Stegostoma tigrinum: one gene and its partner. The protein of the gene in region 2 interacts with the protein of the main gene of each other region in a biochemical or structural test. Links are inferred from orthologs where the notes say so. Each region holds a gene or a part of one and is shown on either strand. Other genes may lie near its edges. The genes, in order: ptprja and pdgfrb.

Evidence for each region.
Region 1: of the proteins of pdgfrb (region 2) and ptprja, one has a biochemical effect on the other in vitro, tested with the Homo sapiens proteins (2 studies listed by IntAct). The link is inferred for Stegostoma tigrinum from reciprocal best matches to the Homo sapiens genes PDGFRB and PTPRJ.

The regions. Positions count from the first base shown.
Region 1 is NC_081370.1:8,172,761-8,181,909, reverse strand, and holds the start of ptprja (receptor-type tyrosine-protein phosphatase eta), read right to left. Parts: upstream 4,441-9,149; 5' UTR 4,214-4,440; coding exon 4,157-4,213; intron 1-4,156. UniProt on the Homo sapiens protein: Tyrosine phosphatase which dephosphorylates or contributes to the dephosphorylation of CTNND1, FLT3, PDGFRB, MET, KDR, LYN, SRC, MAPK1, MAPK3, EGFR, TJP1, OCLN, PIK3R1 and PIK3R2. Plays a role in cell adhesion, migration, proliferation and differentiation.
Region 2 is NC_081366.1:10,721,073-10,730,315, reverse strand, and holds the start of pdgfrb (platelet-derived growth factor receptor beta), read right to left. Parts: upstream 4,148-9,243; 5' UTR 3,778-4,147; coding exon 3,734-3,777; intron 1-3,733. UniProt on the Homo sapiens protein: Tyrosine-protein kinase that acts as a cell-surface receptor for homodimeric PDGFB and PDGFD and for heterodimers formed by PDGFA and PDGFB, and plays an essential role in the regulation of embryonic development, cell proliferation, survival, differentiation, chemotaxis and migration.

The DNA of each region.
Region 1 (9,149 bases), on a different chromosome or scaffold from region 2:
AAAGTCAAGGATGAGAACGGATACTGAATCATCTGTTTAAAAGTTGCAAACTAAATATTCTCCGACACTTCAGGAGGAGCAAATGGATTTTTCAGGGAGTGGCCAGAAAAAAAAAGAAAAAAATGGGTCTCAAGAAGTGTCTTAGAGAGGCAGGGATTTAGGAAGTGGATTACCGAGTTTATGACCAAGTCTGCTGAATGCATGGGCACTGGTGATGGAGCACATTAAGTGATAGATACACAAGTGTGTTGAATTGGAGGAGTGCAGATATTCTATACAAAAAAAAATAAAAGCAGGGGGAGACCAAAGGAGTCATTGAGCCTGCTCTACCATTCAATATGATCATGGCTCCTCTTGGGCTTCAACTCCAGTTCCCCATCCACTTCCAATATCCCTCGATTCCATGTGACACTAAAAATCTGTCAATTCCAGGACTTAATGGAAGCATTGAATGAAGCCTCCACAAATGCCTTTCAGTAAAGAATTTTAAAACTGCATTTTCCTTCGAGTGGAGGAATTTGTTTATTGTAGTCTTAAATGGTTAACCCCTTTCTTAAGGCCACACACTCACGAATCAGATTGCCCAATCAGTGAAAACCAGTATCTCAGCACCTGCCCTGACGAGCAAGTTCAGGATTTTGCTTGTTACTCTTCAAAACGCCACAGAATATCAACCGAATTTACTCAGCTTCTTATCACAGAACAATTCAACAAGTTGTCACAGAGTGATCTCCAACGAATTATCTCCTTTCTTAAATCTTGGAGGGCTGTAGGGTTAGAGGAGATCGCAGAGGCAGGGAGAGACAAAGGAGTGGAGGAACGTGAAAGAAAGACTGAGAATTCTGACAGAGACAATGTCACACTTGCAGGAAACGTAGGTAGCAACAAGGAGAGTGTCAAACAGAGATTGGCACAAGCTGGATACGGGTGGAGTATGCCAACGACACAAGTTAGACGGTTGGTCAGAAGTACATTCAATTGACAGACATCAAAAGGAGAAATAGGGAGCATTAGCAGATAGGCTACAGTGCAGGAGAAGATAGATAATGCTAAACAGTGAAAATAGGCAGTCTCGATGATACAGAGATGTACATTCATACATACATCAGTCTGGAAATTCAACATCAAATAAAACGTCGTGGTTTCTGAACAGTCCTGCTTCAGGCTCAGGCAGTGAGATGATGGATTGTAATTAAAGCAGAGGACAAAGTCAATGGCTAGTGTTATTATTTATTTACATAATGCTTAATTGAAGTCACTCTTGATTCATCTTGATGTCTGACAAGCAGCATGGCAAATCAGAGTCAGTGAGGGATCACTAGCCATGCTGGTAACGCAATGCTGATTATCAACAAAGTACATGTTGAATCTAGGGTTGTGCTTTCAAACGATAAATGCCCCAACAGCTTGACTGGACTATTTTAACTGCTAGGTACTCACCTTTATCAAGCCGGACATGGGGGTATATACAAATATTTTCAATCTACACTTAAATGCAATTTTTAAGTTTGGACCCACTGTGAATTAACATGTATTCAAAGAGATTTCCAGAAATTGGTTACATCATTAATCTCTATGGCCCTTCAAAAGGCCTTGCAGAAGTCCAGTGGAAAATCATATCTATAACTTGAGTTGTTCAGTGTTTAGGAGGGGTCCCTGTTCTTCCTAATTCAAAAAGGGCAGATCTTTTATTTAAAAAAAGGTGTCAAAAACTTTCCCCACATTTTTGACCACTACGTCTGAACTCCTATTCCTTCAGTGGTCTGGCAGGGGAAAAGATATAATGGCTTTCTCCATTCAGATCTTTGGCTAATGCAGAATAATTATCAGATCTGATCGCAGCATCACAGACCAATCTGAATGTTTGAAGGAAATTATCTTAAGACCAGTACAAGACGCACGTAACCTAGGCAGGCAGACTAAATTGCATGTGACAGTGCGTGGCCCTGCCCTGATTTAGTATTCACACAGGATATCATCAACACTATTTATTTCCATATCCATCTCTATCTCATGCATAAGGTTGCTGAAACCCTGCCTTACTTTTGGTGGAGTCAGCCAGGGTTCTTTTGCTCCGTTCTTAACAGTTGTCAAGTCACCCACATTAAATTTGCACTAACTCCTGCTCACCAACTCAGGTGCCTTTAGTAAACTGGTGTACCAACTGCAAAATACTCAATTTGAAGAATTATTCAACAGAACTTTTCTGCAGTTTCCTTCAGCCTGATTTCCCTGTGTATAGCCTACACTGTTCCTATGCTGCATGCTGCAGTGCCATTCCTGACGACACTGGCAAAGACATTCTTGAGCCCAAGCAAGGTGCACCATAGCAGTCCTCCTCTCCATTACTAACTGCACAGTATCAGTCGCCTTGCCTACTCTCTCATGTCTTCCCAGTTTCAAAACCTCCTCCATATCCATGGCTTCAACAGCACCTTTGGTCATTTCCCTTCTACTCGTTGCTTTGCCGCTGGATGTGAAAAACAATGGAATGTTTCATTCTGGAAAAGCCCTGATATACAAATGCAAGTTACAATGTTGTCAGCAGGGACGGGACAAGAAACTAAGGCTTGTGTACTTCTTTGGTAAAAATGCGAACTTGGGGGCTCAGCACACTGTCAGTTGATACTTTGACTAAACGCGACATAGCAAAGCATGCCCGTATGAAAGGAAATAAATTTAGTAATCTCAAATAATCTATACAGCAAACAAAAAGGGTGGGTAGGGAAGAACGCCACCCAACTGAATGTATTTAGAAGCATTTAGTCTTAATGGTGATATGCACCATTACCCATGAATCTGATATGGTACTTTTGTCAACTACCTTTTAGCTATAATTATATCCCATCAGTAGAGAGACTAGCCATTAAAATTTCAGAAAATGTACTGATTCACTTCTCTAAAAGTAACCAAAGCAGAAACCAAAATGCAATATCTGCCTCTCCAGGAATTCTTTGTAAATTGTATTAATTAAAACCTACTGTATAAAATTAATTGTTTCCATTTAAAATGTTTCTCCCAATTCACAAGATATGTCTGTCATCTAGCGCATCAGATCAGAGACTTGAGCACGAAGACAGGTGTATAACTGATGGCCTATTCCAGAAATCACTGCTGGATTGAAGAAGGGTCGAGGCCCGAAACATCAGCTTTCCTGTTCCTCAGGTGCTGCTTGGCCTGCTGTGTTCATCCAGCTCTACACCTTGTTATCTCAGATTCTCCAGCTTCAGCAGTTCCGACTATCTCTGGACTATTAGTTAATAAAGTGTGAAGCTGGATGAGCTGGAGAGCTCTCTCTGATGAAGGGTCTAGGCCCGAAACGTCAGCTTTTGTGGTCCTGAGATGCTGCTTGGCCTGCTGTGTTCATCCAGCTTCACACTTTATTATCTTGGATTCTCCAGCATCTGCTGTTCCCATTATCTCTGGATTATTAGTGCCTGGTTTGCCTGGTACAGAAAGGAGTATAATCCTGGGCAGGACAGCAAAAGAATTCACAGTGGCTCATCCCCAACTTGGGATGAACATTCAGGCAATTAATCAAAGCAGTGGGTCAAGTAGGGTCATGGGTAACCCCAAAGCAAAGCATTCTTTCTTAACACTGAGAAGCACATTGCAAAAAGAACTGAAGTTGTTCGAAAGATTCTAGCACAAGAGACGCACGACTTTACAACATTACATATTTAAAATGTGTAGTATTCGGAAGGAGATGATCTCTGGTGGTTGCATGTTGTTTCCCCCTCCCCCTCCCTATTTACTAACTTTAAGTATGCTAATAACTTGTAAATAAAACAGTTCATTGAAACTTTACGGCAAAATTTCTATGAAAGGGAATGTTGCTTTGATTCTGGGGACTTGAATACACTTACTTTAAATCGGGATTGTGCAACTCTTGAGCAGGCGAGTTAATTGCTAAACAAGTGAGCGAACTGGTGGGGGGTGTTAGCGACAGAGAGACAGCAAGAGGTCTATCTCCAGCATACTGTGTCCCGTTTCAGGTGCGGATACTCCGAACCCCATCTCCTCAGTGAGGAGGAGATAAACAGTGCCGTCGGCAGGTGCAACAGGGCAGTTCCCGCATCTTTATCCACAGTAACAGCCCACCCCTACCCTACACACACACACAGACAGAAAACTTACAACTACCCACTATTCTCACCTGAAACAGGAAGGCGCTGGCCAGCAGCATCATTACATTACGCCAAGTTGGCTCCATCCTCGATCCAGGAAACTACAACAGTTTCCAATGAAAACTTTTTGTTTTTCTCTCTTTCTCCCCCTTTCAGCAGTCGTGACTCTGCGCCGAACCGTTCGCCAACTTCTCTCTTTCTTTTTTTCTGTCAAACAGAAATGACTCACTTCACCTTGCTGCCAGCAAACCCACAGCCGAAGCCCATTATGTTCACGGGAGAGAGGGGCTGTGCAGTGAAGCACTAGCCTGAACTGCTAGGAGGAAGAAAGTTGAATTAAAGAAAGGGTGGAGCCCGTTCTGTAACGTCAGAGAAAACACTCCCGAGCATTGACCTGCTGAGTTCAGGCAGTACAACGAGCTGGCCCAGTCAACAGGGTACTTCCATTCACCTGCAGTTCCATTTGTTAGCCAATGTCAATTCCACCCCCACCTCACAGTTATTTTCACTGAAAATTACATAAACGGATTTCACCAGAGGCAGCGCATTAAAAAAATCTCCTGCATTTACTACTTTACAAAGCGTAACCAGCAAAGCTTGACCCTGAACCACATCAAGAAGTATTAGGTTGGGTGACCAAAAGCCTCTTGGGAAAGAGAGGCTGTGGGGGAAACCAAACTTCAAATAGAAGTCACTGACCGCCTCAAACAGAAACTCAAAATGAAAGCCTCAGAGTGATGGGGTGGGATGTAGTGTAGTTGAAGGTTGCTGTGAAAATATGAACACTGCAGGCACTAACCAGTATGTCCCAATGACCCAGTACACTCTGTGCCCAGGCCTTCTGAAAGGCAGGTGTTGGGCACCCTTCGAGGTCCCAATGGAAACGGCCATGAGGAATATTCTAATTTGCCAGGAAGTATGCCAAAGTGTCTAATTCTGAGTTAGAATTAGAGACTTTGGACGGTGTCGACTCTCTTACTTGGATAGTAATCCGGGAGATTTTCAAGGATCTCCTGCTCCAACTCCCAAACAACTGACTCCTCCACCTGAATCCTTGCTGGATCACCCACTCACATTGCCTCTGCCCAGGACACCAGACCCTGGATCTGCTTCCCCGTTCCCTGAACCACCTCCTTAGTCACCCACTGCCAGTCTACACCCTCACCCACTAACCTGCTCGTGCAGTGGTACTGTCCGCACTTCTAAAACAGGAGACCCAGGGTCAAATACTACCTTGCTTTGGAGGGTGTAATAACGTCGTTGAGTATTTTGACTGGAAAAGCTCGACACACTTAACTTCTCTCAGTAACTTGTCATTCGAATTTCACACATAGTGATGAGAACACAGTAACAAGTATGCCATGAAAAGGGAAACAACTTTTAGTTTGATTCTTCCTGCAAAGGTATTCTGCACCTTGAATGTTGGGATAGATCCTGCATCGGAAGTTGGGCCTAAAAAAATCATGGTAAGTAAGCAATGTTTTGTCTGACTGGGTCATGTATGTGGATTTTGCCCCAGATTAGATGATGTAATGCAAGGAGGAATAGTTTACAGGAGAAAATCCATCACTAAATCCAGAGGCATCTGCAACATAGCTGTAATTAGTGGGTTATGAAAGCCAGGGCCCAAAATCAGGGGGTTGCAGAGATATCAGAGAGTTGTAAGACTGCAAGATATGACAGCATTAGGGAGAGAGGTGGCCAAGGAAGGATTTGAGGGCTAAGATGGAGATTTTTAACTTAGAAGCATTGTCAGGCCTGCAGCCAATGTGAGTAAGCACAGGAATGGTGGGATCTGTGGCTTATGACACAAGTTACAGAGTTCTGGGTGATTTGAAGTTGACTGAGTCTGGAGGAAAGGAGACTGGGCACAAAAGCATTGAAGTTTTGCATCTGGAGATAACATAAAGTTTCAGCAGTAGCAAAAGAAGGATATTGGTAATGTAATGGAAATGAGTGTGGGCAGTCCTGATGCTGAAGGGTTGGAAGCACAGAGTAAGGTCAAGGGGCGTGCCAACTGTGTGCCTTTGTTTCAGAATTAGCCACAGTAAGGAGCAAGTCAATGGCTGGGATGTGGAGTTTGTGGTATGGAATGAAAACGAAGGCTGCAGGCTAAGCATTATTTAATGGAAACAAATTGTGCTCATCCAATACCAGGTTTTGGGTTGACACCATTACAAACTAGATTCAACGGCTGCTGCCACAAGAGGGGCTGGTGAGATATAGCAAGGTTTCATTGTCATTTGTGTGGAAGGTGACATGGTATTTTTTAAGACGATATTGCTATAAATGACAAATAAGAGGTGTCAATGACAGATACTGAGCATCTCCAGAAGTAATAATGCTGAAGCAGGAAGGAAAGAACTGGACTGATAAGAACAGAACCTTCTGAGGGAGTCAGGACAACAGACTGGAAGCATTGAAGACAGGCAAAGTGGTCAACTGTGTCAGAGACAAACAAATCAATAAGAATAAGGAGATACAATGCACCATTATCATGGTCACATAAGATGTCATTTGTGGCCTGGTAAGGGCCACTTTAGTATTGTGGCTGGGGCAGACCTGTTGAGTTTGGTTCAAACATGGAATTTTGGGAAAGGTGGGCATGGACTTTGAATGTGGCAACATGTATAAGAACTTTGAAGGGGAAAGGAAGTTCCTACATGTAGTAGTCATTGGTAATTATTAAACATTTATGTAGAACATGGAACAGAACAGCACTGCGCAGTACAGGCTCTTCAGCCCACGATGTTGTGCTGACCTACTATCCTACTAAGATCAATCTACACTGCATAATTTGCATTTTACTATCCTCTATGTACTTATCCAAGAGTTGCTTAAAAGTCTCTAAAATATCTGACTACACTACAACTGCCAGCAGCGCATTCCACACACCCACCTGTCTCTGTGTGAAGAACCTACCTCTGAAATCTCCCCTACACCTTCCTTAAAATTGTGCCCCCTCATAATAGTAATTTTATAAGAGTATATTTGCAAATATAGTACTTGTTATCTTAGCAATTTTCCTTCCTCACTCATTACTATTGAGTATGATAGTCATTGGCCATTAATTTTGTTTCTGTTTGTGTAGATTTGTTTAACATAAATTTTGGGATGAGGTGCTCTGTGTGGGGTCTGGAGGATGTGGGATTGTTCAATTTAGAGGTAAGAAGATTAAACAAAGATTTAATACAGTCATTCAAAATATGTGGAGTCTTGATTTTAGAGACAAAAGGGAAAAATTGTAATCAAAAGCAAGAAGAGTGTGTCATGTGCGCTGCCACCCATATCTTCTAAAGTTCTTCAGGGACACATGTGGACTAATCTGTCTAAAGACAACCACCTTCTGACCCTTGCAGAACAACCAAAGATGTAAAGATGCTCAACTACTAAGAGGTTAAAAGAACAGGCTGTACATCACTACAAAGAAGATGCAGGAGCCCGGTATTAGATTTATCTTCCACAAGATCCTACTTTACTGTCTCACCAAGCCCTCACGATATCAGCGCTATTGCACTCAATCAAATATTAAAATTTGCAAACGTTTGGTTCGCAAAAGTCTCCACATTCATCAAAATTAGAGCATGGATCAGTACCTGGTGCTATGATGTTGTGGCCATAACAGAGACATGGGTTTCTCATGGGCTGGAATGGTTGCTGGATGTTCCAGGGTTTAGAACATTTAAAAAGAATAGGGAGGGGGCAAAAAGAGGAGGGGGTGTAGCACTACTAATCAGAGAGGGTATCACAGCTACAGAAGCTTCCATTGTCGAGGAAGATCTGCCTACTGAGTCAGTATGGGTGGAAATTAGGAACAGCAAGGGAGTAGTCACCTCGTTAGGGGTTTACTACAGGCCCCCCAATAGCAGCAGGGAGATTGTAGAAAGCATAGGTCGACAGATTTTGGAAAAGTGTGGACGCAGTAGGGTTGTTGTAATGGGTGACTTTAACTTTCCTAATATTGATTGGAACCTCCTTCGAGCAGAAGATTTGAATGGAGCTGTTTTTGTAAGGTGTGTTCAGGAGGGTTTCCTAACGCAGTACGTTGACAGGCCGACGAGGGGAGAGGCCATTCTAGACTTGGTGCTCGGAAACGAGCCGGGGCAGGTATCAGATCTTGTGGTGGGAGAGCATTTTGGTGATAGTGACCATAACACTCTCTCATTCTACATAGCTATGGAGAAGGAGAGGATTAGGCAGAATGGGAGGATATTTAATTGGGGAAGAGGAAACTATGATGCGATTAGACACGAGTTAGGAAGCATGGACTGGGAGCAGTTGTTCCATGGTAAGGGAACTATAGACATGTGGAGATGGTTTAAGGAACAGTTGTTGGGAGTGATGAGTAAATATGTCCCTCTGAGACAGGCAAGACGGGGTAAGATAAAGGAACCTTGGATGACGAGAGCGGTGGAGCTTCTAGTGAAAAGGAAGAAGGTAGCTTACATAAGGTGGAGGAAGCTAGGGTCAAGTTCAGCTAGAGAGGATTACATGCAGGCAAGGAAGGAGCTCAAAAATGGTCTGAGGAGAGCCAGGAGGGGGCACGAGAAAGGCTTGGCAGAAGGAATCCGGGAAAACACAAAGGCATTTTACACTTACGTGAGGAATAAGAGAATGGTCAAAGAAAGAGTAGGGCCGATCAGGGATAGCATAGGGAACTTGTGTGTGGAGCCTGAGGAGGTAGGGGAAGCCCTAAATGAGTTTTTTGCTTCTGTCTTTACGAAAGAAACGACCTGTGTAGTGAATGAAACCTTTGAAGAGCAGGTGTGCATGCTGGAATGGATAGAGATAGAGGAAGCTGATGTACTGAAAATTTTGTCAAACATTAAGATTGACAAGTCGCCAGGCCCGGATCAGATTTGTCCTCGGCTGCTTTGGGAAGCGAGAAATGCAATTGCTTCGCCACTTGCGAAGATCTTTGCATCCTCGCTCTCCACTGGAGTCGTACCTGAGGACTGGAGAGAGGCAAATGTAATTCCTCTCTTCAAGAAAGGAAATAGGGAAATCCCCGGCAATTATAGA
Region 2 (9,243 bases):
CAGGTCAAGGAGGTGGGATGAGGTTAGTAGGGAGGAGATGGAGGTGCGGCTTGGGGTGGGAGGAAGGGATGGGTGAGAGGAAGAACCGGTTAGGGAGGCAGAGACAGGTTGGACTGGTTTTGGGATGCAGTGGGCGGAGGGAAAGAGCTGGGCTGGTTGTGTGGTGCAGTGGGGGGAGGGGATGAACTGGGCTGGTTTTGGGATGCGGTGGGGGAAGGGGAGATTTTGAAGCTGGTGTCTCTACAACCCGACCATAATCCTCCGACACTTCCGCCATCTACAATCCGACCGTTCTCACACACCACCCCACCAACCTCCGGATACAACGCATCATCCTCCGACACTTCCGCCATCTACAATCCGACCCCACCACCCAAGACATTTTTCCATCCCCACCCTTGTCTGCTTTCCAGAGAAACCACTCTCTCCGTGACTCCCTTGTTCGCTCCACACTGCCCTCCAACCCCACCACACCCGGCACCTTCCCCTGCAACCGCAGGAAATGCTACACTTGCCCCCACACCTCCTCCCTCACCCCTATCCCAGGCCCCAAGATGACTTTCCATATTAAGCAGAGGTTCACCTGCACAACTGCCAATGTGGTATACTGTATCCATTGTACCTGGTGTGGCTTCCTCTACATTGAGGCTTGGGGACCGCTTTGCAGAACACCTCCGCTCGGTTCGCAATAAACAACTGCACCTCCCAGTCGCAAACCATTTCCACTACCCCTCCCATTCTTTAGATGACATGTCCATCATGGGCCTCCTGCAGTGCCACAATGATGCCACCCGAAAGTTGCAGGAACAGCAACTCATATTCCGCTTGGGAACCCTACAGCCCAATGGTATCAATGTGGACTTCACCAGTTTCAAAATCTCCCCTTCCCCCAACGCATCCCAAAACCAGCCCAGCTCGTCCCTCCCCCCAATGCACCACACAACGAGCCCAGCTCTTCCCCTCCACCCACTGCATCCCAAAACCAGTGCAGTCTGTCTCTGCCTCCCTAACCTGTTCTTCCTCTCACCCATCCCTTCCTCCCACTTCAAGCCGCACCTCCATCTCCTACCTACTAACCTCATCCCACCTCCTTGACCTGTCCATCTTCCCTGGATTGACCTATCCCCTCCCTACCTCCCCACCTATACTCTCCTCTCCACCTGTCTTCTTTTCTCTCCATCTTCAGTCCGCCTCCCCCTCTCTCCCTATTTATTCCAGAACCCTCAACCCATCCCCCTCTCTGATGAAGGGTTTAGGCCCAAAACGTCAGCTTTTGTACTCCTGAGATGCTGCTGGGCCTGCTGTGTTCATCCAGCTCCACACTTTGTTATCTTGCCACTCTTGGTCACTCATTTCATTCGTTCATTGTTATGTTAGAGTAAGGCTCTATCACTTTATTCAATACATTAACACTCTATTTACATTTATGTTTGCACAGATAACTGAATTTGTCTCTCAACTGTATATCTTCCACTTGTTTCATTACAAGCTTCTGTCTGGTCTGTTCTCCTGCCCTACTGATATCAGAGTAACATAATCAGTTACATATCCACATTCCATTGTACAACATGCTGCATGCATGATTCAAATCACTGTAAGCTCCAGTAAGAATCTAGCCTTGGTTCCCCTCCTGTAGTTTCTGATTTAAACAAAAGCATGTCCATTTTGAGAATCTATGCATGCAGAAATAGATAAATAAAACAAATCACCAATCTAATGTAACATAACCTTATGGCATAAATTCGCACAAGTGAGCACAAAGCTGATGGTATGTCACAGAAATGCAACTGTTATATTTCAGGGAAGAAAATCAGTCCTTGTAAAGCTCCTCTAACAACGTGGTTGACTCTAAACTGCCCTGTGAAATGGCCTAACAAAGATAGTGCTTATGTTAAGCCTGTTAACAAAAAGACACAACGTGGGCTACTATGCTTCAAGAAGATGGCAGCTACAACCATCATTTCTCAGGGTAATACAGATGGGTCACTATTTCAGAAACTGACTTCCAATTCAAGATTTATTTCTTATCAATAGAATATAGAGGCCATGAGGTGCCCTGGTGAGATCTGAACCAGCATCCCAAAGAATAAGCCTGATCCTCTAGCATGCTAGTCCATTGCCATAGTCTTCCCATATCTGAGCCAGTTGCGAAGATCTGAGGATAAGTGATCAAAAGTTTGATCGAAGTGGTTTCACTCTGTGGATAATGCATGCCATTTGTCCCAAATTCTCCACCTTGAGGAACAGGTCATATGTATGCCTCTTAGTGAGCTTTTTTGCTCAGATACCAGCACATTAAGGGTCTTTATTTCTCAAGCATGAGTATTTAACACTTTCATCTCCTCATCAACAGGTAAGTAATAGGGTAAGGAAGTGAAGATAGCTTGGGATCCATGACATATCAGTCTAAACATGTGACCCAGCATTTCAACTTCCGGCATCCAGGCCTTGTCTCTGTGTGCTGTCAAACTCCAAGAATAATCTCCAGTGAAGCACTTAGATCCCAACAGAGACACGCCAAGCTCACGACAAGACCTTTTACTCATTCAGCAACAGACTTTTAAAAACTCCCTTTTCCTGTTTCGAAGGCAGAGAGAGAGAGAAAATCCCAGGCAAACTCATCGTTAAGATCTGGCGGAAGAAGATGACAATTTGCAGAAGAATGCAAATAATTAAAGCCATCATCAAAATCTGATCTAATTTTTTTTGTGTTAGAAACATACATATAAGGAGCTGTCCTCTTGCCGACTCTGCACATTCCACTAATTCATTGCAGCTTCTAACAATAATAAAATGAGGAGCTGTGTCATTGAACCAGTCAGCACAGACAATGACCTCTTGGCCCAACATACCTATACTTCCTCTTTTATCAAGATATTGGATTTGTCCCATCCTCTCTATTCTTTCCCCATAGCCATGCCTTTTAAACCTCTATCAAATATTGCTCCAACTTCCAACTTCTTATTGAATGTGCTTCCATCTCCCTCTCAGGCCAGTGGAGGACTCTCCTGACCATAACATTTCTCATCGCCTCATTTGGTTCTTAGAATAATTCAGGACAGAAGAGGCCCTTCAGCCCATCAAGTCTGCATGGACCAACCTAAATGGACACATCCCACTTTCCTGCACAGCCTTGAATGTTATGACATTTCAAGCGCTCACCCAAGTACTTTTTAAAGGTTGTGAGCTTTCTTGGCTCAACTACCCTCCCAGGCATTTGCATCCCTGACCCTCATCACACACTATGTTAGAGGATTTTCCTTAAATTTCACCTAAGCATCCTGCCTTTCACTTAAAATGTAAGCTCCCTTGTTACTGACCCTTGGACTAAGGAAAACTGCAGCTTTCTATTCATCCTGTGTCCCTCGTAATCTGATGCACCTCTACCAGGAGGACCCCCTCAGCCTTTTCTGCAAAACAACCCAGACTTGTCCAACCTCTCTTCATAGCTGCAATACTCCATCCCAGGCAACATCCTGGTGTATCTCCTCTACCCCTTCCCTTGCAATGAAATCTCCTAGTGAATCTTCAAAACTCCCTGACATCTGTGATCAAAAGAACAAAAATCGCTCCCCACCTCAAGTGGAGGTGACTTGTAGACACCAAGGGGTTAAAAAATGCAAAGGAGGAAATTCTCAATCCAACTAATCTTCAGAAGTTTCCCATTTCCACAAAACTTGAGGGGACAAGCCACACCAACCGAGCCCAGAATGACCAGCCAAGATTAACTCACCTGGAGATCTCGGCGGTGGGAGACTTGCCTTTGAGGGAGTCCATTCCTCAGGAAAGGCTCAGGGAAGAGGTCTGGAATAACACTGGCAGCCCAGTCTCAGCCTCCTATTGTAGAATCGCCTGGTTGTAACGGGGGAGGAGGGGACAAACACACACAGAGAGAAAAAAAATGCTTCTCCAAACACTTTTTTAAAGAGCAAACTCCGCAGGAGAGGCAAGAAACTGCTCGAGTTTGGTTGAGGACGGCACCGTGTGTGTTTTAAAAATACATTCCGAGAGAGAAACAGAAAGGAAATCTTCCTGGAACTTATCGGGGGGAAAAAAAAACCTCTAGTGCTGGGACGGGAGGATTGAGAGCAGTGCTGATTTTCTCTTGAGTGCTCCAACTCTGAGACAATTCCCTTTGCAGTCTGGCAATTTGCCCAAACTTTTTTTTGTGTATGTGTGTGGGATTTAAAAAGGATGTCGAGAGCCCTGCCTCTCCATGCCAAGAGTTGACTCACGGTCAATGAATCGACTTCAAACCTTCTCTCGCTTTATTCTTGTATGTTATAAGCCAATCCGTGCTGTTTTATCCCTTCGAAAGTGCGAGTTCTTTCTTAAACACAGTTTGACACGAAATGTCGAGATGAGGCACATTGCTAACAAAACGTAGTGACTGGAATCACAGATTCAAACGCATAGCCCCTGGTTAGGGAGATACTGACACGTACAAGGTTACATATGGAAGAAATTAAGGACTGTGGTGAGTTTATAAATTCCTAGTCCATCCTGATTTTAACCCTCTGTCAGCAAGGAATGTTGCCCCGTGCCTATTTCTCCCTTCACTATTCAGGAAGTCAAACTTAATTCGACTTTAATTCCAATATTCTTCAAAGGGAAACGTCTTTAATGAATAGTTTAATCTGGTCTGCTTGCAATATTTAAATTACTCTTTGCTTGGGAATCGGGAGTATGTGCAATTTTTAGGTAAAATGAGATGACATTATTAAATCAAGGTTACATATCCAGTGTAATCCCCATTTTAACAGGCACTGAATTCACAACTAACGAAAACCGAAAGAACTACGCATGCTGTAAATCAGGAACAAAAACAAAGTTGCTGGAAAAGCTCAGCAGGTCTGGCAGCATCTGTGAAGAATCAGAGTTAATATTTCGCAGTTTAAAGTTTAAAACGTTAACTCTGATTATTTCTTTACACATGCTGCCAAGCCCGTTGAATTCACACTTTTGTTTCTTCTTTAAATTTGTTAGAGGCTGGAAAAACTTCATGTAAACATGTCACGCTGTAAATTCTGACCACTTGGTGGTGCCACAGCACCTCTACTGGTAATAGCGACTAATTGTAGAGGGACCATTGGACCATTAGTTACACACGGTGTGTGCCTGGAGGAACACAGCCGGCCAAGCAGTATCAGAGGAGCAGGAAAGTTGATGTTTCAGGTCTGAAATGTTAACTTTCCTGCTCCTCTGATGCTGCCTGGCCTGCTGTGTTCCTCCAGCTCCATACTGTGTTATCTCAGACTCCAGCATCTGCAGTTCTTACTATCTCTGAATTAGTTATACAGTCAGTTTGATGAAAGCATACTTTAAAAAATCTTGGAATGTCTGCATCTTTAGCAAGACTAGCATTTATTGCTTATCCTACATTTCCCATTTATTTAGCAAATGTGAAACCTGATGCCAAGCCGTAGCCTCTTCGTTTGCTAAGTTCAAGGTTATTGGTCTGGCATTTAGGATGTAGAGGGAACATTCCTCCATAATATGCAGCATTGTTTGAGTCTCTACACAACTGGCAGAAGAGGCCCCAGTGAAGAAGGTTGACTGCAAAAGAGCGCTGACCTGTTCTGAACTTGTTTAGCTGAGGCCACTCTTGTAATGGTAGTTCACATTTGATAGATGGGGTTTGTCACGAGGAAATTGTTCATGGCTTCCATTGCTTGGTCCGAGGGATGTATCTTGGTGGATCTGGTTCAGAAAGGTTGCTCCATGTAGGATGGCTAGAAGGAACAGGCCATCAGCAATTGGGTAAGTAGGTTCGGCACAAATAGTTTCAACCAGCCTTGGAGGTTTTCATCAGTCAGCGGAAGTGTTGGACAGTGATGTTTGTAATATTAGGAAGCCAGGAGAAGAGTGTGTGAGTTCCCATTAACAAGTTGGTAGTTGATCTACTTCTTAAAACCACTGAAGTCCAAATGGTGCAGCTACTCCCACAGCATTGTTGGAATTCCAGCATTTTGACCTGGCTTTGATGAACAAGGGACCAATATGTTTTGAAATGAGGATTGTGCATGTGTCAAGTTGCACGGTGCCTCAGTGGTTAGCACTGCTGCCTCACGGAGCCAAGAACCTGGCTTTGATTCTAGCCTTGGTTAACTGTCTGTGTGGAGTTTGCATACTGTCCCCCATGGCTCTGTCGGTCTCCTCCATGTATTCTGATTTCCTCCCAGAGTCCACAGATGTACAGGTTAGGTGGATTGGCCATGCTAAATCGCCCTGTAGTGTGCAGGCTAGGTGGATTAGCCATGGTAAATGCGAGGTTATAGGAATGATGTGTATGGGATGCTCTTTGGAGGGTTGGTGTAGACTTGATGGACTGAATGGCCTCCTCCCGCCCTGTAGGGATTCTACAGGGATTTTGTAAGTTATGATGTTTCTCTGTTTTTGCTGTCTTTGACTTTCTTGACATAAGTGTATGTAGTACGGAAGTTAATATCAAAGGACCCCTGATGATTTGCTGCTGTGATACTTGTAAATGATGTGTGCTGTGGCCATTGTGCACTGAAATGAAATGGAATAATTGTTAACATAATTTATCAAGACTTTGCTTCCATTAGCAAGCAATGGTCTTGAGGAAGAAAAAGGTAAAATTGTGCCAGCACCTGATTCACAATTTGGTTCTGAATTTCTCTCTTAGAATCCACAGTGACCCTGTTCACATCTGTTCACTACCCCCTTAACAGTATGGGTTACAAAGTTTCAAGGGGCTTCCAGGACATTTCTTAGATGAAGATGAACACAATGGCACAGAGGTGTGAGAAAGCAATGGATCATCTGATCAGCTATCACATTGCTGTTTTGCGGGAGCTTGCTGTGTGCAAGTTGACTATCATCTTTCCTACATTGCAATTTCCAAAGTACTTCATTGGGTGTTCAGCATTTTGGGAATGCTGATGTCCTGAAACATGCTTTAGAAGTTATCACAACCACTCTCCAGGGGTAGTCGCCCAATTTTATTACAGATCCAGATGGACTACTGCAAACTGTCAAACTCCGGCTTGAGGGAGGGATGAACTGGCTCCCCTTCCTTATTCACCTAGGTTCGGCTGCCACAAGGTTAATTAAAAATGATTCCCTTCCTCGCAGATAATTTTCTCCCAGACCAAGTGGATTTGTCAGTGATAGAGCTGTACAGCAGAGAAACAGACCCTTTGGTCCAACTTGTCCACGCCAATCATATATCCTAAATTAATCTAGCCCCATTTGCCAGCATTTGACCCGTATCCCTTTACATTCTTCCTATACAAATACCCACCCAGTTGCCTTTTAAATGTTGTAATTGTACCAGCCTCCACCACTTCCTCTGGCACCTCATTTTATACACGCATCACCCTCTGCATGAAAAGGTTGCCCCTTACGTTCCTTCGAAATCTCTCCCCTCTTGACTTAAACCTATGCCTTCTAGTTTTGGACTCTGCTACACAGGCCAGAAGACCTTGGCTATTCATCTTATCCATGATGTTATAAGCTTCTATAAGGTGAATCCTTGTGTTTTAAAATGGAACCAATTTAGCCAGGCTCTCGAGTTAATGAGAGAGAGTTTATTTTTGATGAATTATGGGAAGAAATAATAATGTAATGCACATACCATAGATTAAAAAGGAAAGATAAAAGTTATAAGATATACAGATCGGTCTCTGCACCATTTGGGAAGATGAGGCGGTGAAATGGTAGTAGATTCGCCAACTTTAGGTACATTTAAGTCGTCATTGGATAAGCATATGGACGTACATGAAATAGTGTAGGTTAGATGGGTTTGAGATTGGTATGACAGGTCGGCACAACATCGAGGGCTGAAGGGCCTGTACTGTGCTGTAATGTTCTATGTTCTATGTTTTACGTTGTGCAGTTCTGGTAGTGTTGACGTTGATAGTTGAGAAGGCAATATTGAGATTCTTGGCATTGTCGGTTTCCTTTCAACTGGCTTGCTAACTAACTTTCAGCAATCAGTGCATAGAAACATAGAAAATAGGAGGAGAGTAGAAATCCTTTACCTGCAACTCCAGGGTGTCTAGTGGATCGTTCTTTGACTTTGAGCTCTACAGCACACTCACATTCAAACCAGGTTAGTACAAATTAACACTATTGTCCACTAGTACACACAGGCCATGGTTGCTATGATGTGGAGGTGCCAGTGTTGTAATGGGATAGACAAAGTCAGAAGTCACACAACACCAGATTATAGTCCAACAGGTTTATTTGAAATCACAAGCTTTTGGAGCTCTGCTCCTTTGTCACTTCACTCAATGAGGAAGAAGCTCTCTGAAAGCTTGTAATTTTAAATAAACCTGTTAGACTATAACCTGTTGTTGTATGACTTCTGACTTAGGCTAGTGTTGAAACTGCCTTTCCTTGATCATTCTTGAAAAGGGAAACACCCAAATATGTATCTCTGACAGCTGTCTTTTCTCTCTTCATGTTCACAGTCTGAGATACTCACAGGAAATCATAATTCAGTTTGCAGTGAATTTTTCTCTTCTGAAACTTCCTATACACCTTCAGGTATGACATCCTAGTGCTCCTTTCCAGGCAGCCTCCTGTATCTCCTCTTTTAAGAAAAGAACTCACATTGTCAGGGATAGTAAGAACTGCCGATGCTAGAGTCAGAGCTAAGCTGGATGAGCACAGCAGGCCAGGCAGCATTACAGGAGCAGGAAAGTTGACATTTTGGGTCAGGACCCTTCTTCAGAAAAGGGTCTGAAGAAGGGCCCTGACCCGAAACGTCATCTTTCCTACTCCTCTGATGCTGCCTGGCCTGCTGTGTTCCTCCAGCCCCATGCTGTGTTATGACATATGTCAGGGTTTTGGTGGGATCACATCTGAAATACTTTGGGCAGTTTGGGTCTCCATGTTTAGGAAGTGATACGTTTACATTGGAGGTAGTACAACAAACGTTCATTAACTTAGCCTCTTGGATTGCCCTAGGATGTGAGGTTGCACACATTGCTCCTATATTGCAAACTAACATATAAATAAGATCAGAAGTAGACCAATCAGCCTCTTGAGCTTGCTCAGACATTCAGTAAGAACAGGGCTTCCTGTTTGTGTTATGAAATCCACAACCTATTTACCCCGAATAGCCATTGATGCTCTTGCCTAATAAGAATCTCTCTGCCTCAGTCTCTAAAATAACCAGTGACTTCCCCCCCACCCCGCTTCCAAATTCTACTGCTTTCTAAGACAAAGAGTTCCAAGATTGCACAAATGCCTCAGAGAAAACAAATTCTCCCT